Linked DNA regions of Elephas maximus indicus. The protein of the gene in region 2 interacts with the protein of the main gene of each other region in a biochemical or structural test. Links are inferred from orthologs where the notes say so. Each region holds a gene or a part of one and is shown on either strand. Other genes may lie near its edges.

What was found.
Region 1: the proteins of SERPINF2 (region 2) and PLG form a complex in vitro, tested with the Homo sapiens proteins (2 studies listed by BioGRID, with this or other methods). The link is inferred for Elephas maximus indicus from reciprocal best matches to the Homo sapiens genes SERPINF2 and PLG.
Region 3: of the proteins of SERPINF2 (region 2) and ELANE, one has a biochemical effect on the other in vitro, tested with the Homo sapiens proteins (2 studies listed by BioGRID). The link is inferred for Elephas maximus indicus from reciprocal best matches to the Homo sapiens genes SERPINF2 and ELANE.

What each region holds. Positions count from the first base shown.
Region 1 is NC_064819.1:232,833,171-232,843,632, forward strand, and holds the start of PLG (plasminogen), read right to left. Parts: upstream 4,475-10,462; coding exon 4,426-4,474; intron 1-4,425. UniProt on the Homo sapiens protein: Plasmin dissolves the fibrin of blood clots and acts as a proteolytic factor in a variety of other processes including embryonic development, tissue remodeling, tumor invasion, and inflammation. In ovulation, weakens the walls of the Graafian follicle.
Region 2 is NC_064837.1:19,983,617-19,993,574, forward strand, and holds the start of SERPINF2 (alpha-2-antiplasmin), read right to left. Parts: upstream 3,972-9,958; coding exon 3,909-3,971; intron 3,763-3,908; coding exon 3,685-3,762; intron 3,548-3,684; coding exon 3,485-3,547; intron 3,284-3,484; coding exon 2,980-3,283; intron 2,502-2,979; coding exon 2,358-2,501; intron 2,232-2,357; coding exon 2,028-2,231; intron 1,506-2,027; coding exon 1,363-1,505; intron 1,032-1,362; coding exon 827-1,031; intron 152-826; coding exon 1-151. Other genes in the region: WDR81 (WD repeat-containing protein 81), read right to left, coding at 7,322-7,642, 8,660-8,839, 9,184-9,329.
Region 3 is NC_064821.1:597,081-606,813, reverse strand, and holds ELANE (neutrophil elastase), read right to left. Parts: upstream 4,941-9,733; 5' UTR 4,927-4,940; coding exon 4,860-4,926; intron 4,444-4,859; coding exon 4,287-4,443; intron 4,019-4,286; coding exon 3,877-4,018; intron 3,116-3,876; coding exon 2,885-3,115; intron 2,718-2,884; coding exon 2,517-2,717; 3' UTR 2,440-2,516; downstream 1-2,439. Other genes in the region: CFD (complement factor D), read right to left, coding at 33-222. UniProt on the Homo sapiens protein: Serine protease that modifies the functions of natural killer cells, monocytes and granulocytes. Inhibits C5a-dependent neutrophil enzyme release and chemotaxis. Promotes cleavage of GSDMB, thereby inhibiting pyroptosis. Promotes blood coagulation.

The DNA.
Region 1 (10,462 bases), on a different chromosome or scaffold from region 2:
ACCACAGGGTTGCTATGAGTCGGAATTGACTCGACAGCAACAGGTTTTTGGTTTTACTCTATGGTTGTAACTGTTATTTCAACTGACAATGAGCATGGTTCCACCTTGAGGTGCAAGCATTTTAGCAAATTGGTGGTCAATTAAGAACAAATAGGAACTGAACTAAATTGTAGAGTCCCTGGCAGTACAAATGGCTCATGAATTTGGCTGCTAACTGAAAGGTTAGTGGTTCAAGTCCACCTGAAGGCACCTTGGAAGAACGCACTGGTGATCTGCTTCTGAAATCAGTCATTGAGAACCCTGTGGAGCACAGTTCTGCTCTGGCGCACAGGGGTCGCCGTGAGTCAGAGTCGACTCCACAGCGACTGGCGAAACTAAATTGTGGTTCCTTTTGGGCAAAAATCCTTGGACGGTAAGAATCTCATCTATAATACAAGGTCATTTTTATACTGGGTGAAGTGACACATCACAATAAATTGCTGATAAGTTTTGCCACAATGGTGACAGGACCTGGCATTTGGGAAGGATATCCTCGAAAAACAGAGTCTAGAACAAATGCTGACCGTGATTTTTCTGTGAGATAAAATTGGAGGCCCAGAATCTGACAGTTGCTTCCTCCCTTGCTACTGCAGACAGTGGCCAATGGGGCTCTGGCCATGTTTCCGCAGACAAGACTGCAAAGGGTGTCCATTGTTCTGGGTCTCCATGTAACACCTGACCTGGCTTTGGCACAACTAACCCAAGTCTGGAGAAGCCAGCTCCATCCTTTGGGCACGGACTACGGATGACTTCCGCAAAGGTGCGAGGTAAGGTGAAGATAGCAACGTTTTCACTGGATCAGGTACCATGGCACCCTTGACCACGTAAAAGGGAGAGGGAAGGACCAAAGCCAGGTGAGTGGGCTAAAGAGCGGCTAAGAAGATGGCAGTGGGAACACATGAGAAGACAAGGTGTTATGGAGTGAATTGTGTCCCCCCAAAATGTGTGCCAACTTGGCTAGGCCTTGATTCCCAGTATTGTGTGGTTGTCCACCATTTTGTGATCTGATGTGATTATCCTATGTGTTGTAAATCCTAACCTCTATGATGTTAATAAGGCAGGATTAGAGGCAGTTACGTTAATAAGGCAGCACTCAGTCTACAGGATTAGGTTGTGTCTTGAGTCAGTCTCTTTTGAGATATAAAAGACGGAAGGGAGCAGAGAGGAGGGGGACCTCATATCACCAAGAAGCAACACCAGGAGCGGAGCATGTCGTTTGGACCTGGGGTCCCTGTGCTAAGAAGCTCCTAGACCCAGGGGAAGATTGATGACAGGGACCTTCCCCCAGAGCCAACAGAGAGAGAAAGCCTTCCCCTGGAGCTGCTGCCCTAAATTCAGACTTCTAGCCTCCTAGGCTGTGAGAGAATAAACTTCTGTTTGTTAAAGATATCCACTTGTGGTATTTCTGTTATAGCAGCACTAGATGACTAAGACACAAGGCTTTCAAAAGTCTGCTGAGAAAGCAGCAGGGAATGTGCCGTCATCAAACCTGTTTTAAAGATGAGACCTCCTGAAGCATGTTTGTATGCTGGATAAAATTTTCCAGCAGAAAGGACCCTTAAGGCAGATCCTCATTCTCGGAAAGGCCTTGCCTGCCCACCCAGAAAATGCGCATGCTGAACAGAGGGAGATCACCCTAAGAGATTAAGGCAGAGCTCACCCCATCCCTACACCCTGCACCTGCTTCTGCTCCCTTCCCCAAGTTAAGACACTCCACAGTAAAAAGATGGGTTATTGAACAGGAAGTTGATTGATGCAGTCTAAACCTAATACACCAAGCAGCACTTAATAAATGTATCAAAAAATTGTGGGAAAATATGGATCTTAGGTCCAGATCGAAATCCACTCTGTATTTTCTTCCCATTTAAACCCTCAGTCCCAAGAAGAATTGTGCTTTGGTAAATTCTATAGACCAGGATGTGATTTCAAAAACGAACGCACAGTAAACCTATAAAATGAATTTTATAAAGAGTTAAATTAAACTTCACGAGTTCTGGAAAGTATAGCAGGCTAGGCTCTAAGTGGTATTCAAAAAGAAAATTCCTGTTTATATCATCCTTTAATTATGTTGCCTCTAGATACATAGCAAATTACGTCGTGTAGACCAGCTGAATCCGCCTTAGGGGCTGACATTCCAAAGAAATATCCAGGAAGAGAATCTATTTGTGGCTTTTTTCTTTAACAGGTTTTCCACATTTTTTTTTCTTATACCACTGCAGTTCGTATGGCAATGGGCTATAATGTGGCTTATTTGTTGGTGAAGAAATATTAACACATTTTTTGGTGAAAAGCATTTTTATATTATAGGCCAAATATAGGCATATATTGCGGCCCAAACAAGCGTATTTTGTTAATAATGGGGATGTTTTAAAAACCACTGGTGTGTGTATGTGCACACATGCTTGTGTGTTTGAAAGAAAAGACTTAGTGGCTCCTGAAATGCAAAACACATATCCAGCTTTCATAGAGCACAGCTGTGAAAAAGTCTGCCTCTCCCTGGGTATTTCAGCTCACTGGAAAGATGAAGGTTACTTCCATGGAAAGTCAGGGTAAATGCTTTCCTTTCAAAAAGAGCCTATGAAAGACAGGGGTTTTCCTAGGCTGGTTAAAACATGCTATCCTGGTGCGGGGAAGCTCGTTCTAACACTTGGGTGTAACCCACTAAGTAAGTTCATCTTTCCAGCTCCTTCTTTCCATGGGTGGAAAAAGAATATGCATAGCCTCCCTCCACACAGGCGCACACACACAGACACACACTCACACAGAGAGACACACACATGCACAAAGACACACACACACATGCATACACACACAGACACATGCACACAGAGACACAGACACAGAAACACACAGACACACGCACACAGAGACAGACACACAGACACGCACACACACACAGACACGCACACACACAGACACACACACAGACACAAAGACACACACACACATGCATACACACACAGACACATGCATACAGCGACACAGGCACACAGAAACACACAGACACACGCACCCAGAGACACAGACACACATGCACACACACAAACACAACTGCTTTTCACAAAAGTCTTTGTTTAATCTTTCCTGCTCTGTATTTTCTTTGATATTTCTTAAATGTCTTCTCATTAAACCCAAATATATTTGGTTCTTGTTTAAAATGCAACTTGAAAATTTTTATCTGGTAATTTATAAAGCAACCGTCAAGTGTCTGTGCACTGTTTGTGGGAAGAACACCAGCCTATTGGACAATTCCATTTCTATGAAATGCCCAGAATAGGCAACTCTGTAGGGACAGAAAGCAGATGGGGGAGGGGGTGTAATGGTGGGGAGGGGGTTGGGTAGGACTCATGGCTAAGGGGTTTCTTTTTGGGGTAACCAAAATGCCCTCAGATTGATTGTGGTGATGTGTACGCAACTCTGAATATATTGAAAGCCATTCAATTGTATACTTTAAATGGGTGACTTGTCTGCCATGTGAGTTATATCTCAATAAAGTTATTTAAAAGGGAAAAACGAGGAGCTAGGTCATGTTTAGAATATGAATTTTAAAGAAGGTTTAAAAAAAGTTGAAACAGCAAGAACACTGGATTCAACCTTGGAAAGCCCTGGTTTAAACCCTGATTCCTTCACTTCCTGGATTTGGTAGTTTGGTCAGTGGGCAATTCACAGGATTCCTCCAAGTCTGGATTCCCTCGCCCTCACAACGGGGATGGATGTACTGAATTTATCTCACCAGGTGATAAAAAAGCAAGTATGAGTAAAGGAGGCGTGTATATACGTGTGAAAAGCGGCCTACCCCAAGCACTAAGTGTATATTTGTTGAATTAATATACACACACATCGTTTGGCAAGTTGATCCTGGGATTTCTCCAAGCAGAAGAAGGAGACATGTAAGTATGGAAAGTCTCACTTCAACCAGATCAAACAAGGAAACGGGGAATCCAACTGCACTCTGGTCAAATACACTCCAAGAGAGAATTCATTGTTTTAAATTCTGAAATGAGGGGAGCATGATACCTTCATAAAAATGTTCTGGATTAATCCAACTGAGAACTAGGCAAAGAGACTAACAACGACAGCCTTTAGGTTTGTTAGCTGTATGGGGTTTTTTTCCAGCTAAAATCATTTGGGCTCAATCTCTTAGCTTTGAAAAGTCACTCCTGATTGTCTCTGCCCATTCATTTTTAACACCCTGCAGTGTTCACAGCGAGATTAAGCTTATTCCTGAAGCATTCCTTAATCTCATAGTAGATTTTGAACTGGGACGCTCATGAACCACGAGCTAAAGTAAACGAGGTACACCTAAAACCATGGTACGAAACCTGGCACAGTCATGCATTGCTAGGAGGAAACATGATGATTAAAATAAAAGATGTTACACCTTACCTGGTGGCAGAAATAAAAGAAATAGAAGGACCACTTTCGTCTGTTCCATTTTGAGGCTGACCAACAATGTCCAGGAAACAGTGTGTCCCAATCCCAAAATGTTACTGACTCCCAAAGAGTCAATACATCCACAAACAAGATAATCCAGTGAAGTTAATGATTCCCTTGGTGGCCCTGCTGCTGGACTCCAAAGGGTCCAAACAGTACCTTGAATAGGGATCTTACAAAATATGTTTGAGAGCAGAACCTGCAATAAATGCTGGGAAGTGGTGAAAGCGCTTCTCCCCCACTCGGCCGCCCGCACCTCCTGCCTGTCGCCTGGTCCTCCCCTCGCACCCACTTCTTCCTCTTCCCCCTCTGCTTTCAATCCCTTTCTTTTGGATAAAATAATAGTCATAATAATAGCTAACGTTTGCTAAGAACTTTCCTCATCCCACTCTGGTCAGTGGTGCATACACACTGTCCCATTCAACCTTCACTGCCAGTACTGACGGAGGCAATCTTATTATTACCCCATTTTAAGGAGTGAGAACTGAGCCTCAGAGAGGTTAACTTGCCTGAGGTTAAACAGCTAACAAGGGATGAAGTTGAATAAACACAAACTATTTAGGCCTTAGATTATAAATTTAGTTGAGCTAAGACATTATCCTGGGTTAAGACATTATAGTTAAAATCCCCACATCCTGCACAAACAAAAACCAAACCAGTTTCCATCAAGCCGATTCCTATTCATGGCGGCCCTACATGTGTCAAGAGTAGAATTGAGCTCTAGAGGGTTTTCACTGGCTGACGTTTTTGGAAGTAGTGTTACACCTTTCTTCTGAGGTGCTTCTGGGTGGAGGTAGAGGTGAACCTCTCACCTTTCAGTCAGCAGCCAAGTGTGTTAATTGTTCACAGGACCCAGGGACTCCAACTTCCCACCCAACATCATGGAGTTGCTACGTAAGTAAAATAGTTTATTATTATTATTATTATCATTAACATTTCTTTATTCCCAGTGGGTTCGTGTGTTGGCCAAAATTGTACATTATAAAAATATCTATTCCCTCAAATGAATGTGCAATATATTATATCCCCATTCTATGAAAGAAAGAGTGGTAAAATCCAAAGTTTAAACAGCCTGTCTCAGCAAGGGCGGGGGTTTGGGGACCATGGCTTAAGGGGACTTCTAAGTCAATTGGCAAAATAATTTTATTATGAAAACATTCTGCATCCCACTTTGAAATGTGGCGTCTGGGGTCTTAAATGCTCACAAGCAGCCATCTAAGATGCATCAATTGGTCTCAACCCACCTGGATCAAAGGAGAATGAAGAACACCAAGGTCACACGATAACTAAGAGCCCAAGAGACAGAAAGGGCCACATGAACCAGAGACCTACAGCATCCTGAGACCAGAAGAACTAGTTGGTGCTCGGCCACAACCGGTGACTTCCCTGACAGGGAGCACAACAGAGAACCCCCGAGGGAGCAGGAGATCAGTGGGATGCAGACCCCAAATTCTCACAAAAAGACCATACTTAATGATCTGACTGAGACTAGAGGAATCCCGGCGGTCATGGTCCCCAAACCTTCTGTTGGCACAGGACAGGAACCATTCCCGAAGACAACTCATCAGACATGGAAGGGACTGGACAGTGGGTAGGAGAGAGATGCTGATGAAGAGTGAGCTAATTATATCAAGTGGACACTTGAGACTGTGTTGGCATCTCCTGTCTGGAGGGGGGATGGGGGGATAGAGAGAGTTGGAAGCTAGCAAAATTGTCACGAAAGGAGAGACTGGAAGGGCTGACTCATTAGGGGGACAGTAAGTGGGAGTACGGAGTAAGGTGTATATAAACTTATATGTGACAGTCTGACTTGATCTGTAAACGTTCACTTGAAGCTCAATAAAAGTTAATAAAAAATAAAGAGCCTGTCTTCATTTTAACAGCTGATTCTGTAGTGTTGCTTGACTTAAGGCTAGAATGACCAGATAGTAAACCAAACCAAAAACCAGTTGCCGTCGAGTCGATTCCAACTCATAGTGACCCTACAGAACAGAGCAGACCTGCCCCATAGGGTTTCCAAGGAGTGCCTGGTAGATTTGAACTGCCAGCCTTTTGGTTAGCAGCTGTAGCTCTTAACCACTAAGCCACCAGATTTTCCAGATAGTATAAGCTTTAAAATTCCTATTTCAGTGTTCAAAAATAGTTGGGACAGTGAAATTGACCTCTTTCTTTTAAATGTGAAATCAGGACAAGAAAGCATATACTCTTCTCTCTAGGCCAGCAAATTCCTTCCTCAGTATCACCTAGCGAAGTGTGTTGTTGTGTGTTGCCAAGTCAGTTCTGACTCATAGCAACCCCACGTGACAGTGTAGAACGGTCCCCCAGGGTTTCCAAGGATGCTCCCGAGGAGCAGCTGGTTGGGTTTGACCCACCAGCTGAGTGCTTAACTGTTGCACCTCCAGGGCTCATTGTGTATGGGTGGCAAGGGTGTGGAACTTACCTTGATGGATTCCCCAGGATGGAGGCACTAGGCGGACTTCGCCAGACCAAAACGTCCTTGAGAACAACAGTGCATCCCCTTGTGGAAGCAGAGATGGCCCATCGTCACTTCTTGATTTTCTGCTTCAGCCTGGCTGGCTTCTCTCCCCAGCCTGTCCCGCCTCACTCCACCCTCTTCCTCTCACCTGGTGGCCAGTTTATTGGCACCAAAGGTGGAGGCACACTGAGAAATCAATGCTAGGCAGACATTTCCCTGGATATAGCTGACATGTTTTGTTAGGGGCCTACAGTTGTGTTTGAGAGAGTATAGTACTTTGGGAAAAGAACTAATATTATAACATAACTAATATTGTAAGATAATATCATAGGATGTTTCCAGTGTGTTTTTGTTTCCTTTCAAGTGTTATCTTTTCACTGCCTCGTGGATGAGGCACTTCAGGAATGAGGTTATCAGAAATTCTACACCTACATAATTTTCCTTTTCCTGTTGATTTGAGTGGTGGTGTTACACCTTTTGCCCCCTTCCCCCAGATAGTTCTAGAATGCATTTGATTCTATGCATTCTTCACCACCTTTGTAATACAGTAGCATCATGAGAGCACAGAGGAATATTGAACAGATGTTTGCTGTCGTCCACCGGATTCTACAGCGTGCAGAGATGAGCAAAGGGGAGGTGTTGCTCAAGTGTAGACTGGGGTGGGTGCACAGAGACCTCCATCACGGCCCAGCCCTACCCCTCGGTTACAACAGAGGACCAGGTAGGTGGAAAGCAATGGACTCTCCTGAGTGTGTGTAGGAATCCCACACTAGCTTGCTAGAGGGAGGCTGGACTATTGTTTTGCCCCGGCTCCAAAGGCAACTAATTCAAAACAAGCCCCATGAAAGAATGTCAGAAACTGAGAAAAGAGATGTAGAAAGAGAGACCATTTCTGTACATTTATTACAACATTGAATAAACTCTGAGATGTGTATTCTTATTCCGTTCAATTCATAAGTATTTACTGGCTACTCGACAGCACCACGTTTGGTTTGGTTTGGTGTGTACAGTACTGTGTTAGATTCTGTTGTTGCTGTGTGCTGTGAAGCTGATTCCGACTCATGGTGACCCCATATGACAAGGTAGAACTGCTTCCATAGGGTTTTATGGGCCGTAATCTTTACAGAAGGAGCCCTTGTGGTACAGTGGTTCAGCACTTGGCTGCTAACCAAAAGGTCAGTGGTTCCAACCCACCAGCTGCCTCATGGAAGAAAGATCAACTCAACAGCAGTGGGTTTGTTTTTGGTTTAATCTTTAAGGGAGCAGGTTATCAGGCCTTTCTCCCGAGGAGCCACTTGTGGGTCAAACCAACAAACTTGCGGTTAGCAGGGGAATGCTTAACCGTTGCACCACCAGGACTCCTAGACTCTTTTAGGCTTATGTAAAAAGTATAAATCACAGTGTCTACCCTCTCCGAGCCCCCACCCCAAAGGAGTGACAGGAAGCCTTTGCACATAGATTTGTGGAGCCGCAGCAGCCACACGTGTAGTTAGGGACAAGGACATTAAAATGAGATGGAAGTTCAGCCTAATCCCCTGAGCTCTTGCCCAGCATGGGGCCTGCAACCAATATCTGCTCAGGTTCTTTTAGGAAGGAAATAATTAGCCAGTCACTCCCAACATGAGGATGGTAAATTCCTTGCAAGGAATTTCCTCACAGGGAACGTCTTTGGTAGTTGTGAACATGGGAAAGGCCAGCCTCGCTGGGAGAGGGAGGTAGAATTCGCCCCTCAGTCTCACTTGCACCCCTTTACGTGGTCACAACCTCCCAGGTGACAAGGTTTCACACAGCATGAGGACCTTGCAGTACTGGCCTCAGATCTTTGCCCTGCAGCGCCTTCCTACCCTGCCTCCACCTTCCTCAGCCCCAGGCTTTGCCATCTGGGAACTCGCATTCTAAAACAACTTGCTTCTTTGCCATGAACCTCTTGGAATGTTCCCAGGAAGACTTTGTCGCTTCAAAGCGAAAACACCAAAAAAAAAAAAAAAAAAAGAATTAATCTCTTAAGGACTCAAATCGATTTATCCCTTGGTTGTTGCGAGAGTTCTTAGCAAGTCTGTCTTTGCTCCTGATGTCAATTTGCAGGTTGCTTTTACTGTGTCAGTTTTTAGGGCATATTACCAGGGAAGCATGTTCTAATGAACCGGAAGATGTCTTCCATTTCTTTATGCGACCTTTACCCCGTGTTTGTTGGTTTTGGTCATCCGTCTCTGGGGCCAGGTAGTGAGAGGCTTATCAGCCCTCACCTCCGGTAAAGAGATGGCAGAACCGTTCACTTAGCACAGTGGTTAAAATGTAAGCTGCTGGGAGCGCTTTTTCAGTCAGACTTGACTGATCAATTCAGTGCTCTGTGAAGTAATATTTCTTAGTTGTGCTTGAGGAAATTGAGATGTTTATTCATTTTCAAAAATAAATCAGTTTTCGTAGGCTGTCTCCTCATCAGACTTGTACTATGCTTAAGAAAAATGTTAGCAGAGAAGATAGTAATTCCCAGGTAATCGACCCGACCGCACTGAGTCAGGCACATGGACTCCAAATAGACCTGGCTAATGTCCTTTCTCCTTTGAGCTGTGATTCACTATGCATAAAACAAGAGCCTAGGCTAGAGGTAAACCAACACATTCCCATCTCTACAATTCATTGTTCGCTAAGCTAATTAAGATAAAAATATTTTTTCTCAAGATTATCACGGTATTTAGGGGAGACAAGGCATGTAGAAAACATAAAATCTTTTAAGAAAAAAGAATAAGTGAGTGAAAAATCTGGTGGAATCTGCGTAGGGTCTGTAGACAAGTTCATTAAATCATGCCAATGGCAATTCCCTGGTCCTGAGACTGTGCTATAGAAATGTAACTTATGTAAGATGTCACCTTTGGGGGAGACTGGGCGATGGGTACACAGGACCTCTCAGTACTATTTTTGGAGCTTCTTGTGAGTTTATAATTATTTTAAAATAAAAGGTAAAAAATGTGTATGTGTGTGTGTGTACATATATATATTGCTGTTGTCAGATGCCCTTGAGTTTGTTCTGACTCATAGCCACCCCATGTACAACAGAATGAAACACTGCCTGGTCCTGTGTCATTCTCACAATCATTATTATGCTTGAGCCCATTGTTGCAGCCACTGTGTCAGTCCATCTCATTGAGAGTCTTCCTCTCTTTTGCTGATCCTATACTTTACCAAGCATGATGTCCTTCTCCAGGGACTGGTCCCTCCTGATAACATATCCAAAGTACGTGAGACAAAGTCTTACCATTCTCGCTTCCAAGGAACACTCTGGCTATACTTCTTCCAAGAATACACACACACACACACACACACACACACACGGAAACCCTGGTGGTGTAGTGGTTAAGTGCTATGTCTGCTAACTAAAGTATTGGCAGTTCAAATCCACCAGGTGCTCCTTGGAAACTCTATGGGGCAGTTCTACTCTGTCCTATAGGGTTGCTATGAGTCGGAATCAACTCGATGGCAGTGGGTTTGGTTTTTTGGTATACACACACACTT
Region 2 (9,958 bases):
GACATGCGGGACATGGCCGTACTGGTCGCCGCGGTCGCCTCCACGCCAGCCTCGCTCAGCTCCAAGGTGGATTGATGCTGCACGCTGGACACCACCAGGCTCTCGTCAGAGATCCCACTCAGGTCTGGGGCCTGGAACAGCTCCTGCAGGCCTGCCAGGGCAGCAGACAGCTGGTCAGAGCCAACCTCTGCCCACAGCTGCCTGGCTGGACCTGTTTGGTAGAGAGTCCTGGCCCTGGATCTGTTAGCCCACAGATCCGCTGGCTAACTACTATTTAACCTTCAAGCCTCAGCTTAAATGGCACTGCCTCCTGGAAGCCTTTCCTGAAGTGCAACTTGATGCCATTCAATGTTCTCCCACAGCTCCCCTCTGTCTTATCACTTATACTGAACAGGAAATGTCTGATTCCTTGTCTGCCCAGCCTGTTATACTGAGCTCTTTGTACACAGGGTGCTCCCAGGGTCTAGTACAGCACCTGGCACATAGAAGTTGCTTAGCAAATGACTGATGGGTGGATGCATCTCCTTAACAGTGTGAAATCCCAGTTTATCTTCCTCCTCCTTCTAGGAGGCTACCCCAGGCTCTCACCTGGGGGTCTTTGCAATGTTCTTGGGCAAAGCAGATCCCCGTTTCCTGGGCCTCCCAGCCCACCCCAGGAACAGAGGGTTCAGGGGCTCATATCGAATCCCCTCATCCTTCCTATGCCCCAGCAAAGGGTAGGACATAACGCTAGCTCTGACCCATACCCAGTGCCAGGCAGTGGCTCCCTCCTCACCCACACTGCCCCAGCCTCCTTATCCAACTGGTCCATACCCAGCCTCCTTACCCAGCTGGCTGAGGGTGGCCACCAGGTCCAGCTGGTATTTCAGGTGCAGCTTTGGCAGCCGGACATTGGTGGGCCTCTCCCGCACTGAAGGCTGGTGCAGGGTGTCCCAGCTCAGGTTGGCCAGCACCTGGGACACGTTCCATTCAAACTGAGCAGGCACAATGACCACAAAGCTCATGTTGTTCTTAAAGGGGAAGTGAGCCACCTGCAAACAAGGGAAGGAGGCAACGTGAGGACCAGCAAGCACCCAAGCCCAGGCGGCGTCTGGGACAACATGTGTTTTGGAGACAGATGAATGGGATTATCAAGTTCTGCCTCACTGAGCCTTCAGCTCCTCATCTGTGAAATGAAGTCACACCAGCTGCCCACCTTGCAAGTTGGACCCTACTAGGTCCTCCTGGGTAGGGAGACAGAGAGATCTTTCAGAGCCACCAGCCCTAAGGACATGACTGCCCTGCAACAGGAAGGTAGGGCCCCGTCCCCAGCTCCTGCCTACTCCCCTCCCCACCGCCAGAACCCAGGCAACCTAGGCCGACCTGCATCTCAGGCTGCTCCAGCAAGAACCACCGTAGAGGGTACTTGTGGGCTCGCATCATGTCCACGGGCACTGTGAACTGCTTGTCCAGGTGGAAAGTGTCTCTCTGGGTGAGGCTTGGGTCGAACTTGCTCCTCCAGAGACCTGCATCCAGGTGGAGGGCAGAGGCCACAAGGGCTGGGACCAGGGTGGGCTCCTCAACACCAGCCTCTTCCCATCCCACCCAGAACTTTTTCACAGAACAAGGGGTAGAGGCCAGTATTCCTCGGGCTATGTGCAGTGGACCCCGCCCCCCACCCCCACCGCTGTTCTGAGGTCTCTTCCCTACAGCGTTTTTTAAATCTGGGCTCTACCCTCCCAGCCCCTGCAGTGTTCCTAGGAAGTCACCCTGGGTCTGTGTATACCCACCTTCCTTCTAGGGTGTCCTCTCCACAACAGGCCCCACTACCACCCAGTTCCTAGGCCCTCTCGCCACCACACCCTTCCCTGTCTCCTGTCCCCTCCCCCAAGCCACTATCCAGAGAGCTCTTCTGGCTCCCTGCCTTATGGCCCTTAAGAGGGAGAGGAACCCTCAGAACAAGCCCAACTCAGCCTCCAGGGCAACACAGAGGAAACCAAGGGTGGGGATTTCCAGCGCCTGGGTACTTGAGAAGGGGAAGGCCGCACCCTGGAAGTGGATGGCATTAAGGAGAAGCAGCACTGTGTTTTCAGGTAGCTCCAAGAGGAAGTTCTCAATCTTCCCTTCCGTGGCCTCCTTCACCCACTGGTTGATGTTTGCCAGGTCATCCCCCTGTCTTCCCGTCAGGCTCATGGGCTTCGCGCCAAAAAGCTGTTCCGACTGTTCCAGGAAGTCATCTTTGATGGGAAATCCTACACAGAAGAGGCAGCAAACTGTTCCCAGGGCTCAGGATCTGCTGGGCCCAGGCTACTACCCAAGGCCAAGCCCATCCCCTTCACCCCCGGCCACCCCCAGGGAGCTCTGCCCTCAGCACCTACCTTTCTCCAGGTACATTCTGGCAGCCAATCGGAATGCCCCAGGGCCCAGGTCCTGGTAGAGGCGGCTCAGCAGGTGGGGGAGGCAGGGCCCGGAGTCCGCATGCAGCACCTGCTGCAACCTCTGCAACGTCTGGTTCCGAGCACCTGGAGGGGAACGTATGGGCTGTGGCCCAGGCTGGGGGTTCCTCCAGGCCTCGTTCATCCAGTCCCTCTTGGATACCCACCATGAGCATACCCACAGGGCCACCAACTCTCCTCCCAATGCCAGACCAAGTACTGGACTCCCAAGGTCTACTCTCATCTCCGCCATGAAGGCAAGGTGACCTCACTCTCGCAATTGCCTTCTCTCTCTGGACCTCAGTTTCCCACAAGGAGACCCTCCAGTCCAATGGGAGACACTGTAGCAATGAAACTCTTGCATAAAAATCACCAGGCGAACTTGTGCGTAGGCAGATCCCTGGGCCCAATCCCTGGGATTCTGACTCATAGAGACCCGAAATTTGCATTTTTACCAAACGCCCAAGTGATTCTGATGGAGGAGCCACCCACTGCAATACTCTGGACGACTGGGTTCCTACTGGCCTCCCATCTCTGCCAATCTGGACGGGTGCTACCACGGTACCTAATGCCAGGTGAGACAGTGCCAGGGCCACGCTCAGGGGCGACAGGACAAGGTTGGGGCTGGTTGACGTGTGGGCCACCAGGGAGAATAGGTCTGTAGTGAAAGCCATCATGGCCTGGGCCAGCCTGCGGGTCTGCTCTGGGGTTGAGGTCCCCTTGCAGTCTCCTGGGGCCCTTTTCAGGGCATCAGGCTCCTGCTGGGGAGGTTCTGGGGTCAGTGGGCTCAAGGTGTCATCTCCAGGCTCTGTGTTGAAGGTCTCCCTCATAGCCTCGGCACTTGGGTGTGGCAGGATCTTGTCCCAGTGCTGAGGGAAGAGAGAGAGAATGTGGTGGACGCTGGCACTCTGGGGACCACATCCATTCCTTCTATCCTTCCAACCATCTCCCTTCTGCCTCCAAACTCCAGAGCCTCAACCTCAAGGCCACCCTCCTAGGCCCCTCACCCCTGCTGATTGGCCCTCCTTCCTCTGGTTCCGCCTACTCTTCCCAGCCCCACCAGCTTGTACCTTGTTGCCGAACTTGAGGAGGGGAGGCAGAGGCAGCTTCTCCTGGGTCTCCCCACTTATGAACTGCAGAGAGAAGGAAGCAGATAGAGAGTGGCCCTTCCTGTGGGCCCCACCCTGCACAGGTCACAGGTGAGGCTTCAGACCCAGTTCCTCCTCCCTGGTGCCTCCCTCCCTCTCACGTGCACCTCACTCCCCAGTACCTGCTGGTCCAAGGGCCCCACGGCACCCACAGGAGAGAACTGTTGAGAAAGGGACAAAGGTGGGAGGGGATGACCCCATCAGAGCCAAATCCTGTCCCCTCCTTCCCCTCCCAGCCTGGCCCATCTCCTCCTCCCCTTCAGCACCTCTGGCCTCTCCCACCACTGCCTCCCAGCCTCTTCAATTTGACCGACCCCTGCCCCACGAGACAGGGGCCCCTCCTCACCACCAAGCAGGGGCCTTGCAGACAGGACAAGCTGAACACCAGGAGCCCCCGGAGCAGTGCCATGTTCCTGTGTCAGGGACAGGAAGCCTCAGCTCCCACCTCACGCCCCCACAGCCAGCCATCCGAATCCAACCCACCACACTCATGCTCACAGACAAGACAAACTCCTGAGCTATGGCACATGACCCCAAAACACATTAGTGGTGCTTCTCAGCTCTGAGAGGCTGGGATTTCTCCCAGCACTTGTTTTTCTGTTTGTGTTTTCTTTCTGGTTTTTCACATTTCCAGCACTGAGAATGTTTTGGTTAATAGAAAGAAAGTATTATTTTTAAAAAATCCTTGTTCTTTAAGGCCTCATGTTATGAGTCAGGCTTGCCTCCTGCTAGGGTGACCTGGGTACCTTCCTAAGTCCCTCGGAGCTTTGACTTATCTTGAAAATGGCAGCAAAAGTCCCTATCTCCTCCCATGGTGCAGTGAAGACCCTAATAAGGCCATCTTTGTAAATACTGAGTACAATGCCTGGTACTTCATTCATGGCTGTTCTCAGTCTAGCTCAGGGTCCCCCCCTTCTGGGGAGCCTGCCCTGAAGCCCTTCCACATAAGGTCTCCCCTGACCCAGAGCCCCTACACAACCTGCTGTCCATGTGGCCAGCCCTTCTCACAGCGGGGACAGGCATGCAACCCTGAGGTCCTCAGACACAGCAGGGGTGGGGGGTTGACCCTAGAGCTGCCCTGTTGACCTAGCAGTGGAGCCCAATGAATGACTCCAGCCAGAGCCACCCTTGGACTTACGGGAATCACAGGCCTCACCCCCCACCCTGCCCCAGGCCAGCTCTGAGAAGCCAGGCTGCTGAGTGACAGTTGGGATGAGCAGGTGTTAGCCTAAAAAAAAAAAAAGCCCATTGCCATAGAGTCAAGTCCAACTCATAGTGACCCTATAGAACCAAGTAGAACTGCCCCCCATAGGGTTTCCAAAGAGCAGCTGGTGGATTCTAACTACCAACCTTTTGGTTAGCAGGTGAGCTTTTAACCATTGAGCCACCAGGTCTTAGTCTGAGACAAAAAAAGGAGGAGGATAAATCAGCCCCAGCTGGAGCCCCAGAGTAGGGCTACCACCATTCTCAGGGCCAGGCCACTGGGAAGGCCTGTCATCCTAACCCTACTCCCCACGACAGGCAGGGCCCTTGGCCTGGCCCTGAGCTACAGCCTGGGTTTTTGAGTGTTCCTCACAAGAAGATGGCATAGTGGTTAAGTGCTATGGCTGCTAACCAAAGGGTAGGCAGTTTGAATCCGCCAGGCGCTCCTTGGAAACTCTATGGGGCAGTTCTACTCTATTCTATAGGGTCGCTATGAGTCGGAGTTGACTCGACAGCACTGGGGTGGGGTGGGTCACAAGAAAAGGACTTCAGTTCTTCAAACTGAGCCCCACTTCCCACTCAGTCTCCCCTCACAAAGGTCCAGCCTTGGCTCCTCACCACCCCAGGACGCTGGGAATCTCCAGGCCTCCTGAACAAATTCAGAGCAGACTCCTGCATCAGGGACCAACTCTCAGCTCATCTCCTGCCCCAGGGAGCAGGCCCAAGCCCCCGCTCCCTCGTACCTCCTCAGGCTCCTTGCTGCCGCACACGATGTTCCTCTGGCCCCGCTTGGTGCTCCCCACGCTCTGCCCAGCTCCAGCCAGGCCAGCCTAGCCCTCCCCTCCCACCAGGACCTTTGCTCTGAGCCAACCCCTTTTCAGGATTGCTTTCTCTTCTGGTAAATATTGGCAAGCACATCCGGTTAAACATTGATATTGGGGCCAGAAGCCCCTTTCACCCCTTTCCCACCAGGCATCTAATTCTGAGAGACCCTGGAGCCCCCTTAGGTTTGGATCCCACCTGAGCCTGGAGAAAGGAGGTGCAGAAGGAGACAATGGAGGAGGCTGGGCCTGGGCAGGTGAGGGCAGACCCAGGAAGGGCAGGGGCCTGGCCCTATATCAAGCTTTCCAGAGGCCCTACAGGTGGGGATGATTCCCGTTCCAGCCTGGCTCAGAGAGGCTACGTGGACCTGGCCAAGGCCACAGAGCTGAGCCCAGGGTCACATCTCGGTTCCTGCTCCAATGTCCTCCCCTCTCCCCCACAGCTGCCTCCCAGGCCCCGGGGGAGGGAAGAGGAAGCTGTAGGAGTCTATGCCGAGAGCCTGGGCTAGAATGCCTACCCCCAACCCTTACAAGCCCAGGATCCTGGTTGGCTGTCTTCAGCCTGGGGTGGGGAGAGGAGCATGCCAAAGGATGGAGCCTCCCTCAGAGGTACCCAAGTCCTACCTCATTGCGAGCAACGCCTCCTGACCCACCCCAAGGGTGAGGGTTCTGAAAACCAGCCTGGGGCTGCATACAACAAAGCCCCATACCTCATGCCACCCGAAGAGCAGTGGCCAGACTGGCGTCCCCCTTCCCCCTCCCCACTGCCCTGGAAGCTGCTGGGTCTCAGATTTCCCCGCCCTGACACCACCATCAAGAGCAGCCACACTCCATCCATGCTCTTCCAAAGGATTTATTGGTCAGATTTACATCTATTGCAAATAGTGAGGAGACAGCAGGGCTGAGCCTCAGACCTCATCTCAGCTCCACTGTGAGCACCAAGGGATGCCTGGGTCTTCCTGTCCCCTGGGAGAGAACTGAGATGCAGAGATGATTCTTCTTGCCCCTTCTCTCGGGGTCTTGGACCCTCCCCCCTCAGAGGGGTTCTGGGCCTAGGAGCTGCCTCCTCAGTTCAAGGCACAAACACTGCGGGTGGGGGTGGGCAGGCAAGGCATGGGGTCACACTTGGCTGGCACCAGCTGGCCCAGCTCATCCTCCCTCCACTAGTCCTACCCTCTTTCTTCCCCCACTGGTCCCACACCGGGCAGGGCCTGGCTGGGTAGACACTTATGCCCCAGACTAAGGCCCTTAACTCCTGAACCACGGCCAGCCCCCACCCCCCAGAGGCTGGAGTCCAAGCACCATCAGTGCCCTGGTCCAGGGCAGCATCCCTGTCCTTGAAGAGCAGGGACAGAGTCCAGCAACAGGGGCCTTGGCTGGAGACTGGCTGGACAGGGCCAGTCTCCCTTCCCCTTCCTGGAGCCTTCTAATCCCTACGTGGATGGACCCAGAGGGCAAGTCCAGGAGAAGCAAGGGAACTTGCTCTCCCACGCTCTCCCTCTTGCTTCCTGCTGGCTGCGGGGAGCATCTTCCCAAGCCATGAGGACTTGTGAGACACCTGGCAGCCTCGGTGGCTTTAGGGATTCAGAGGCCCAGGCACAGCCCAGTTGGAGGCCCCAGCTGGCTGGCCATGTAGGTACACAGGCCTGCCTGAAAGGCAGTTGGGGGAACAAGGAGCAGGGATGGACTCCAGGGGATTTCTGCCAACCCTGGCCCAGCCAGCCCACAACTCAGTCTATGCCAGGAGGCGGATGACCCCATTGTCAGAGCCCAGCAGGAGGTGGCGCTTGGTGGGCAGCAAGGCCAGGCTGGTAAGCGTGCCCCGGAAGTTCTCAGAGCTGAGCTTGGTGGTGGCTTGGGAAGGCGGCTCAAGCAGAGAGCAGACGCCAATCTTATTGGCCACAGTACCAGTGACCACTTCGCTGCCATACAGGTCGAAGGTGTGGATGGGGTCAGATGCCGACTTGTAGTGATGCGTGGGCTTCTGTTCCAGCTCCTTCCAGACAGTCAGGGAGTGGTCGGAGGAAGAGCTGACCAGGACACTACCCTCCACCGCCTGCCCAGGGAGAGGAGAGCCTCAGCAGGGCTGAGCCCACAGACCCCAGGGAGCTTCCCATCTCCTCCCACAGCATCTCACAGGGAAGATGGGGTGTCCTAAGTGGATGACAGACTGTGGCCCTCTCTGTCATAGGATGCTAACATTAACATAGTAGAGTGTTAACAACCTAATCATCACTGTAGTTTGAGAACTTACTACATGCTAGGCATGTAACATTACACATTAAATTTTCATAACAACTCTGAGGTAAGTGTTGTCATTGTCTCCATTTTACAGAGGGAAAAACTGAGACTCAGAGAAGTTAAGAAGTTAAGAAATCAGCCCAGGGTCACAAACCCAGTAAATGGCAGAGCCAGGATTAACACCCAGGTTGAATGCAGAGTCCTCCTGGCTCTTTGCTGGAATGTCTGAATTCAGAGGTCCCTGGGTCCCTGAAGGAAGCCTGGAGCAGCCTGCCCTTAGCAGTGGCAGTGCATGTCCCCTGGCCTCCATCCAGGAGGGTGGGAGAGTCCCAGCTGCCTGAAAAGCCTTCCCACAAATAGTCTTGTTCCTTCCCTGAGGCCTGTGATGGAGCACTAGAGTGGGGTAGAAGATGCGGGCAGGACCCCCACACCCAGGCCTGCCCCTCCCCAACCAGAGCAGCCCAGTGAGGGGCATGGACTCTGCTCAGTGGGCTAGGGGCAGTAAACAGCCTCTCAACTGAGCTTTATTTAACCTGAACTGGGTCATGGACAGGGCCCGACCCCTGATCCTCCAAGCAAGACAAATATGGACAAGGGTTACTCATTAGAACATCTCCAGGAAGCAGCAGGGTCAGCTCTGCCCCCCTGCTCCCGCCCCCATGGCCTGCCTCTAGCCCAGGCCCCTGCACCACAGCTGGCTCCTGAGCTGGCCCAGGAGGGCCACCCTCCCGGCCTGCCTGTCCTTGAGTAGGTGTCAGCAGAGATGAAGGGCTAGGGTGGGGACTGGAGCCAGGCTAGGCAGTGAGGAGGGCAAGGGGACCTGGAACTTCACCTTGATCTGCAGGATGTCCCCTTCATGGGCGGGCCAGCCACGCAGAACCAGGCCCGTGCGGGTGTCCAGGAGCACCATGAAGCCTGAGGAGAAGCCGGCCACGACGCTGCGGCCACTAGGGCTGACCGCCAGGGAGCGGACAAGCCCAGGGTTCAGCCCACCGCCCAGGCGGAACTCGTGCTGCAGGTGGAAGGAGACTGAGAGTGAGGGACCACCATCCCACCCGCCCCATCCCGCTTCTCCCTACAGGTCCTACCCACCACCTGAGCCCACAGAGCAAGAGGATTGAGTCTCTGTCCACCTACCAAGAGGAGGGAAGAGCCCAGTGTCATTTCCTCTCCTCCGTTCCCTCCCAGCTTCCATCACAGGCCAGAGTCCCAGCCCCAGGATTTGCTGCTGTGCGTGATCTATCTCCAAAGACAAACACTAAGTGTTCTGGAGACAATACCCTGGCTGTCTTTGTGGGCCTCCCCTCCTTGCCAGGTACCCCAGCCAGGACTCAGGAAGATGGGTGCTCCTGCTACCTGCAGGCCAGGTTTCCTGCAGTCCACAAAGCGCAGGGTAGAGTCAGAGCTGGCCATGGTGATGCTGGTGTGTGGGGCGGGCATGACAGCTACAGCGGTCAAGGGTACCCGACTGTCCAACGGCTCCACTGTGCGAAGGGGCTTCCCTGGGAGGAAGCACAGAGTGGATCTGGAGTCCCAACATCGGATGGAAGAGCCCTGGTCCCCTTCTAGCCCCTTGACCTACCCCAGATCCGCTGCCTAGGCCGAGGCTCCGAGGGCCCTCAGAAAAACGCTGAAGATGTTTCTTTACCCTTTTACCTTCCTGCTTCCATGGCAAGGTCAGGCCTGTCCCCAAAGGAACCGCTAGTCTTCACACAGCACCCCCCGACCAAATGGCACCTCCTCTGTCCACCCCAATGCTACTCCATCCCCTTCCCCTTTTTAACCATCTCTCTCCCTACAACAACGCCAAAAAATAATCAAGCAGTCACTTCCCAAATATGTACTAAGTGCTACATTAAGCGAAATCCCTACATGCATTATCCTCTAGACTAGTATTTCTAATTCCCATTTTACAGATGGGTAAACTGATGCTTTCAGCAGCAAACAGACTTGCTCAAGGTCACTCAGCAAGAGAGCTGCTGCAGCCAATTCACACTCAGGTCTGATTCTAAGCCCTTAACAGCTCCTCTGTGTGGCCTCATGTGGTCTCCCCAAACACACATAACATTATAGCCCAACCCTCCCCACCTTCAGGCCCCATTCCCAGAGGCCTGGCAGGGCACAAGATGGC
Region 3 (9,733 bases), on a different chromosome or scaffold from region 2:
AGGCTGGGGACCCCAGGCCCAGATCCACTCACCACACACTGCGGCTCCTAGAAGGGCCAGAGCCATCAGGCGCACAGAGATGTCCACCATCTTGCTGATGTGTCCACGACACTGACCAGGCAGGGCCCCGGGGGGGCTTTTATGAGGGTGGAGTGGGGCAGGCAGCTCCCACAGGCCCCATCTGCTGGGTGGGCAGCAGCCCAGCTGGAGAAAGGGGAACATGACCTCTTCCTTCCTCAGCAGGGGAAGGGACAGAGGGCTATCTCCTTCAACACTTGGCACCTAGAGTAGAATGGGGGTCCCTTCCCCTCTGTGAGCCTGGCCCAGGCTGTCCCTGAGAGAGGGCAGCCCCTCAGGATGGGGAGCGGGCAGAGAGGAGGGCTGAGCCCTCGCTCCAGTCCCCCACCCGGCCCTAGAGTGTCCTTCCAGCCCCAGGGTTACACAACAACGCTGGAACCCACAGTTTGTAAACAACCACTTCCTCACCCTTCTGCCCCTCCCTTCTTTTTCTTCCTTCTCCAACTTGAAGATGCTGTGGGGGTAGGGGGAGGTCACCCAACACCCTTGTCTCCGCAGCCTCTGAGGCCTGACGCACCAACAAGTAAAATATTGGAAGATGGTGTGTAGGGGCAGCTAAATGCCAGTAAGAAAATCAAAGTCAAACTGGGTGGAGCCTTCAACAACTGGAATTTAAATGCCAAGTTTAGGGGTATCTGCCTTTAGCTATGGCTCGATCTAGGTCCCTGAACAATGTTGGACCTCTGCCTCTGGCTTCTCCTTTCCTCCTTGATGGTTTCTCTCCTCACCAGGCTCCCCTCTTGTGACTCCAGGAGCCCCAGCCTCACCCTGGAGGCACAGCAGTCCCCTCCCAAAGTGAAGGCCTCATTCTCCATCACTTTAGCCAAAGTCTCAGGGCTGCCTCTGACTGGCTGAATTTGGATCACATGTCCCGTCCCAAACCAATCACTGTGGGCAGGAGATGGGCATGTTCTGATTGGCCGAGCGTGGGTCACGTGGCCCTCCGTAGGTGATGGTGGGTCAAGCTTTCTTGGACCCAGAGGGCGGAGGCGCTGGGACAGAAGTGGGTGGGTGTCATGTCTGCCCATGTGAGCGCAGCCACGTAATACTTTTCCCTCTGCTTCGTTTCTCTGCCCAGTGAACTATTTCATACAGAGAAGAGTAGAAAACAATGCAAGAAATGTGATTTGTTAGATTCTAACAGTGTTCTGGAGCCCTGGTGGTGCAGTGGTTAAGAGCTCAGGCTGCTAACCAAAAGGTCAGCAGTTCTAATCTATGAGCTGCTCCTTGGAAACCTTATGGGGCAGTTCTACCTTGTACTATAGGGTCGCTATGAGTCGGAGTTGACTCAACGGCAACGGGTTTTGTTTTGTTTTAAAACACATTTCCTTATTAAAATCAGAAACGGTGAGCAAAAGCCTGTTAGGGTGCTGAGTTAGAGAGCACAACAAAACTTGGAAATGCAGCAAGGATGACAGTGAGGATCCCCAACCTTCCCTCAGACGCTGGTCTGTGTGGGAAGATTGCCAGGGTGTGCAGTTGCTGGGCAGTGGGTCATTCCCTGTCCCCTGAGCAGCTGACACTTGGGTGGAAGTGTGACAAGGGGAACTGCCTCGGGGACAGCTGTGGGAAGGGCCGGCCAGGGGGATGAACCAGCCTGGGCAAAGGTGCTCAGGTGGGGGCCAGCCCTGCTAGTGCGTTCCAGTGGGAAAGGATTTGGGGCCAGGAACAAGAGGGAGGGGCGTTTTACTCAGAGTTCATGAGGAGGACCTGATCGCTGTCCTTTATCTGCTGGTTTGGGTTGGTATCCTCCCCCGTCAGACTGTGAGCCACACAATGGCACAGAGGCCATGTGTGTCACGGCCCCCACTGTGGCCTGAGAGGGGTCCTCATCAGGCTCAGGAAGGCAGACAGAGGGGCCTGGGCCAGCCCCTTCCCCAGGGCTGCTGCCTTGGACCTGTCCTCCATTTGGGCTGGGGGCTGCCTTGGGAAATGCTCTGCCCCAGTTGTCAGAGGGGAAACTGAGCCTGGGGAGGTGGGGGGTGCTTGTCTGCATCACCCAGTGAGGACAAAGGAGGCCTGGGACCCAAAGCCCTGGCTTAGTCCTTCCCAGACAGCATCTCACTCCCTCCCTCAAGGAAACTGAGGCTCAGAGAAGCAGCAAGCCACCTGCCCAGAGTCCCAACCAAAACAAGTCTGGGAAATCCTAAACCCAGGCTCCTGACCAGGACTTTGCACCACAATGGTTGGTTATCTGGCATCCTTTGGTGGAGGGTGGAGGAGAAAGTGGGCTCACTTCTTGCTCCAATGCCCTGACTTTGTCGCCACCTGGTGGTAGCGTACTGGAGCTGTCCCAAGACAGCTTCTTGACCAGTCAACAGCCAGTTTCGCAGGCAACAAATTCCCAGACACATTCTACAAAACAGAGAGGGTTTTTATTGTGCCAGTGGTTAATGCAGCCATGAGCAGGTGAGGTGGAATGACGGGGGCAGTCCCTCCTAGGGGGTCCTGCTCACAGGGTCCCTGGAGTGGGGAGAGGAGCCATCATCATGACCGCGGATGATGTCGTTGATCCAATTTGCGAACTGTGCCACAGGAGCAAAGGCGTCTGGGTAGAACCCAGAGCCGCAGCCTCCCCGGATGAAGGAGTCGATGCCCTGGACCACTCCACTGCAGACCAGGGGGCCGCCAGAGTCTCCCTGTGGAGGCAGACAAGGTCAGGAGGCTGCACTACAAGGCCCACTGCCCACCTGCCACCCTCGAGAGCGTGGGAAGTCCTTCCTGGAGTCTGACCACAGTCCCTGCTGTTGCAGCCTGGACCTGGAGGAAGGTGGGGAGCATGGGGTGGGGAGTGCAGTGTACATACGAAGCAGATGCCAGCCCGCCGACGATGCACGATGGTGCACACATTGGAGCGGCGGCAGAGAGAGGTCACCACGGTCACGTTAAGCTCCTGCAGGACACTGGGTTGTGGCTGGTTCATGCCCAGCCGGCCCCAGCCCATGGCCAGGCACCGCTCCCCGTCACCCACGCCACGGTCTTGGGCGGGCAGCTGGGCCACCTGCACATTGGCATTGAGGGTGGCCGTCCCATTGAGCTGTCGGGGGCAGGACAGACCAACAGCAGGTCACGAAGGAGGGCAGGCAGTGACCGTCCCCGCTCTGTGCCTCAGTTTCCCCACTGAGGCCCCATCAAAAGGTGAGTTCTGAGGTCTCACGCAGCACGTCACCCACGCCGCAGGCTGCTCCCCATCCTAAGCCTCGGTTTCCCCACCTATAAAAGGGGAGCAACCACAGTGGCTTGCGACATTGTTGGGAGAGGGAGTTCCCTTGGACGTACCCTCGGACGTGACCTGGGCGCAGTAAAAGGTAGATGTTTCACAAAGTAAACTGTGGACAAGGTGACTAACAACAAAAGCCTTGTTATAGAACATAGTCACCTTGCTAGCCTGGGGTAGGGGCTTCTCCCTCGAGCCTCCTACCTGCCCGAGAGTGGGGAGTTTTACCCCACTTTACAGAGGTAGGGACCCGTCTCTGCCTGTGGCCACAGGGTCAGTGAGTGAAGGGGCCCAGGCAGTATACAAGAGCAACGGCCTCATTTATTGACAACCCGCTGTATTATCATCTCCTTTAATCCTCTCGGCAGACTATGGGGCAGGTTTTTTTTTCCCCTGTTTTACAGAGGAGGGGTCTAAGGCACTAGGAGGGGGTGACATGCCTGGTTAGAACCTGGATTCGACCTCAGGTCTGCTGCTGAGGGCCCCGCAACCTGGTCCAAAGTGTCCCCCACACTCTTGTCCCTTCTCTGCCCGCCTCTGCCGGCTCCAGCCTGAGCGCCACCACCCGCCCATCCTGGCACCTGGAGAATCACGATGTCATTCTGTAAGCTCGTGGGGTCAAAGCCGTTTTCAAAGACCCTCTGGACGGTAAACGTCTGCCGTGTGCGCTCACGCCGACGCAGGTTGTGGGCCCCCAGGACTGCCTGTACAGACCGGAAGTTTCTACGGCAAGGGGGGATGGGCAGTGATTCGGGGTGGTCCAGGAGTTCAGAGTGGGGGGGACCCCAGGACTCAGCCCTGCGCCTGAAGGAACCTCACCTCTGCGTCCTCCCACACCCCTCTGACGAATGCCTCTACTTGGGCCTAGGAGGGGGTGCACTGTTGGGGGCCCTGTCCACACAGACCCGGGGCCCTGGCCTCACCCCCTCCCGTTCTACAGATGTGGGAGTTGAGTCTCCCAGAAGGGAAACAGCCCTCCAGGGTGACTCACATGCCGTTCACGCAGTGAGCCGCGGACATGACGAAGCTTGGGGTGATGAGGGTAGCTCCGCAGAAGTGGCCCCCACGCAGCTGCAGGGACACCATGAAAGGCCAGGCGTGGGGCCGGGCTGGCCGGCCACCCACAATCTCCGAGGCCAGCGCAGGGCCTGAGGAGACAGAGGGAGCCATGAGCCCTAGCCAAGGACACCCCGCCCAGCTACTTGAACCTCTACCAGGAATCCATGAGGTCAGGCTCCTCCCACCCGTTTCCCAGATGAGCAAACTGAGGCACAGACAGGAGAAGGAATCTGCCCATGGTCACTCCATCCAAGGCACAACCGGATCCAGACTTGGACCCCACTTCTGAGCCCCAGAGGGTAACCTCTGACCCCAGGGTTCAAACCCTGACTCTGGGCCCCTGCTGTGGCCTTGCCACTCAGAACCTCAAGCTCTTCTCCTGTACTAAGAGGCTCCTCAGCCCAGCCGTCACCTCCCACAAGGATGAGGAGTCACGTAGATCGAGCTCACAGTGGGGATGTGAGGAACAGGCACCCACAGATGTATGGACCCACACGCTACTCACCGCCCAGGAGCACAGCCAGTAGGAGGGGGGTGAGGGCAGGGCCAGAGGGTTGGTGGCTGTGGGTCATGGTCAGGCAGGGAGTCCAAGTCTCTGCCCTTGCAGCCCCACCAACCCCTCTTATAGCCAGCCCCGACATGGGAGGCCGTTGTGGTTGCCCCACCGCAGGGCCAGGCGTCCCCACTTCCTCTCCCCACTCCTGGGGGCTGTGGGGGACAACGGGGTGCTAGAATAGCATGGGGGTGCAGGAGGCTAGGTCAGCATGAGTAGGACTGCCAGATAAAATTCCGGATGCCCAGTTAAGATTACATTTTAGATAAACAATTGATTATTTTTTGTATAAGTATGTCCCAAAAACGGCACAGGATATACTTATACTTACAAAATTGTTGTTGTTAGGTGCCGTCAAGTCAGTTCCAACTCATAACGACCCTACGCACAACTGAACGAAACATTGCCCTGTCCTGTGCCACCCTCACAATCATTGCTATGTTTGAGCCCATTGTTGCAGCCACTGTGTCAATCCATCTTGTTGAGGGTCTTCCTCTTTTTCGATGACCCTCTATTTTACCAAGCATGATGTCCCTCTCCTGGGACTGATCTGTCTTACAAAATGAGTCATTATTTTTCTGACATTCAAAATTAACTGAGCATCCTGTATTTTTGCTAAATCTGGTCACCCTCGGCCTGAGGGAGCCCAGCCAGGTGCATCCCTGTGCCTCAGTTTACCTGGGGTGCTATGATGATGACAGTGATAGGGTAACCATAACCTGGAGCTGCCCTGACATTTCACAGGGTTATGAGGGAACTGCTGAGTCCCCATTTGAGATGGGGACACTGAGGCATAGACAGTCCCCCATGAATTGCCACACAGAGATGTAGTGGGGGGAGCCAGGATTTGAACCTTGCCCCCGGGGATCACAGCTGGACAGTGATTTGAGGCAGACTCTGGGTCCTGGCTTTGCTGTCCTCCACCCGAGCCTCAAGGGTCCCTCTCAGGGCCTAGCCTTCCAGCATTTATTTGATTATTGCTTATGACAGGGAACTCACTTCACTTGTGGGGAGGGTGTGGTGTCAGTCTCTGGAGGCCAGCAGAGGTTCCGGGAAGGACTCCACCCCACCCACCCCCGCCTTGCTGATTTTCTGTGAGCCCTCCCCCGGCCTGAGGCTGTCTGTGGTCTAGCTGCTGTGCCTGCTGCAGGGGCTGGAGAAAGGACTCCTTCCCAGGCTGGAGGGGGCTGTGGGTCTCCATCAGGCTTGAGAGCTTAGGCCTGGCCCTGTGGAGGAAGCCCAGTCCAAACAACGAGAGGGGGTCCCCCAGGGCCCAGCCCAGCCCCCAGACCCTGGTTCCTCTTCCCACCTCCCCCAGGATACTCCCTCTGCAACGGCTACAGCCAAGGATGTCGCAAGACACAACGTCCCCCGGCTCCCTGGCTCCAGGACAAGTTCAGGCAAGGGAGCCAACAGACCCGTCTCTGGGGCAGACGGGGTGGGAAGCCCAGAGACACCCAGAGCCTGGGCCCCGCCTAGGTCCTGTTTGTCCCGGGGACCCCCTCACTGTGTGACTGCAGGCAGGTGAATCCCCAGGACTCTTCAGTGAGGACCTAGCATGCAGCAGGTGCTCAATTAATGTCCATTCTTCGTCCCCAGCTTGGTCAGACACGCAGTAACCAGTCCTGCCTCCCCCCGCTCCTGTCCTTGGTGGGATCCCCACTCTGCTGCCTTAAAGTTACCATAGAGCACTTAGTATGCACCTGCTGCATACACAGTCTTGTTTCAAGTCTAGGGATGGTGGATGGGGGAAGAGTGGAGGATGTCATGTCTTTTGGGGGAGTTTGGCCCAGGGAGGGAGACCAGACTTAACCAAGGCTGCATTTATTGAGCATCACCTGTATACCACATTCACACACCCTATGGTCATTAGGGGTGTCAGTTCTGGGTTCGTATCTCGGTTTGTTTCCGCTTGCCTGCTGTGTAACTTTAGGCCACTCACTTAATCCCTCTGTGCCTCAGTTTCCTCGTCTGCATATTCCAAGTTATAACAGGCTCCATCTCATGGGATTAAACGAAATAATGTTTGTAAAGTGCTTAGACAACAAAGCACTGTCTTTGAGGGTTTGTTAACCATTAATTATCTCATGAAAGGGGGGACGTGGAGGGTATAGACTGAGAGGGGCACACGGGGGCTTTTTTTTATCAAACATGTAATAAATCACTTATTTATTTGTTAATCAGTAAATAATGCATGTGTACTAAGCCTAAAAATTTAGACAGTCAAGACCAGGTTAGTAATCTACACAAATGCAGAAAGGAGCCATTGGCACACGGGGCTGAACGTGCTGTCAACAGAGAAAGATACCTGTTACATTAAGTCTGTTATCTCACGGATGCTCTTTAAAAGGGATGAATTCTGCCTTGTTCTAGCCGAAGTATTGTAATCCCAAATTAACACAGCTTTTTTTTATATTGTATTTGGAAACCCTGGTGGCATAGTGGTTAAGTGCTATGGCTGCTAACCAAAGGGTCGGCTGTTCAAATCCACCGGGCGCTCCTTGGAAACTACAGGGCAGTTCTACTCTGTCTTGTAGGGTCGCTATGAGTCGGAATCAACTCGACAGCACTGGGTTTGGTTGGTTTTTTATATTGTAGTTGAGTCCCTGAATGGAGCAAATAGCTAAAGCGCTCGGCTGCTAACTGAAAGGTTGGAGGTTCAAGTCCACCCAGAGGCACGTCAGGGGAACGGCCTGGCAATCTGCTTTGAACAGTCAGCCATTGACAATACCATGGAGCACAGTTCTGCTTCAGCACACACGGGGGCGCCGTGAGTCGGCGTCAGCTCCACGGTGCTGGTGGTGATGTATTTGAGAGCCTCTCTTTGGCTAAAGTGTTGATATCTTCAGTCATTTTTTCCCACTTGCCTGCGTACACACGGGTGAGTAGCGTGTGTGTGTGTGAGGCTGTTTTTGTGAAGTTTATCTATAATAACTGGTACACAAGTCGCTGGATACAATCCTCCTCGGCTCTAAACCCGAAGTTCGGTTGGTCTCCTTGTCCTTATCAGAGTGTGTAAAACTGTTATCCTTATAACAAAAGACAAGCTCTAAGACTTTAAATCGAAACCCGATTCCACTAAAAAATAAAAACCCATCACCATCAAGTTGGTTCCCACTCATAGCGACCCTGTAGGACAGAGTAGAACTGCAGCCTAGGGTTTCCAAGGAGTGGCTGGTGGATTCCAACTGCTGACCTTTTGGCGAGCAGCCATAGCTCTTAACCACTGCGCCTTCCACCAGAGACTTGGTTATTAACACTATTTTGCTCGAAGACTCATTTCGAGCACCTTCCAACCTGGGGGGCTCATCTTCCAGCACTGTATCAGACAATGTTCCTCTGCTATTCATAAAGTTTTCGAAACTGGCTAATTCTTTTCAGAAGCAGACTGCCAGGTCTTTCTTCCTAGTCTGTCTCATTCTCGAAGCTCAGCTGAAATCTGTCTGCCATAGGCGACCCTGCTGGCATTTGAAAACCGGTGGCTTGCAAGACGCCACAGGACGACAAACCGACAGACGCGTGGGAGAAGACTCGTATTTAAATATAAACCAAGAATTCAATCTACACAGATGTGGGGGCTTTTGGAGACCTGGAAAGTTCTATTTCGATAACCAAATAGTGGTAATAGGGGCTATAACCAAGTAAAGAGCTATGGAGCTTACAATTACGAAATGTGCACGGTGCTTGATCCAAGTTACGCTGCAATAGGAAAATAATAGTTTGACCGTCTTTCCCCCACCCACTGGAGGCTGGGAGGCCCCTAAGCTGTCAGGAGTGGTCCACCAGGCTGTGTGGCCCCTGGCTGCCGAGACCCCTCCCTGGGCCCCCACGGGGGACCTGTCACTCCCTCTCATCTGCTGACCATTCTGCCTGTTCTTCCTGTGGGTTTGTTGCCTAAATTTCAACAACCCCTGCCAACCTCTAGCCAATCAACGCAGCACCCCCAGCCCCTGGGGTCTTCTCTTTGCTACGCTTCCTTCCAAAACTTTCCTCTGCATCAATTTTCACACATATGAGCCCATCGAAAATGCCCAGGACTGACGTTTTCTGGGTTTTTCTGTCCCCATAAAGGGCTAATACTACCCTGGGTGTTTCCTCCAGCAAACCGGGTTTCCTTCCAATGCTGGGCATAGACTGGGGGGCCTGGTTCCCTCTGGACCTTTTGCAGAAAACTCCCCCGCCCTGGGCTGCAGGAAAAGGCTGAGAATTCCCAGCCCCCTCCTGAAACTTCAAAACCAAACCACACCCACTGCCATCAAGTCAATTCTTACTTACAGTGACACTATAGGGTAGAGTAGAACTGCCCCACAGGGTTTCCAAGGCCGTAAATCTTTACGGAAGCAGACTGTCACATCTTTCTCCTGCAAGAAGACTGGTGGGTTGAAACCGCCCACCTTTGGGTTAGCTGCCAAGACCTTAACCACTGCACCACCAGTGCTCCTGTTCCCAGAAACTCATCCATATACATTTCCCATCTCAGGCTTTTTGAATTGGTATGCCGCCACCAGGTGGCGGCAGAGTAAAGTAATAAGAAAGGAGCTGCTTCCAACTTTAGGTGTGTCCTACCAGCATGGGTGCCTCATTCCTGTGGACTCTTGCACTCTCCACAGCTGGCTGATGACCCCTGACTCTTCTCAGCTTCGGGCATCTCCTTTGGGCTCACCCCTGCTCTCCAGTTCATTTCCCATGTTGCAGCCAGGGGGCATCCTGCCCCTGCTTACCCCTTCAGAGGCTCCCTATTCTGTCAAGTCGATTACGGACTCATAGTGACCCTACAGGACAGAGTAGAACTGCCCCATAGAGTTTCCAAGGAGCGCCTGGTGGAT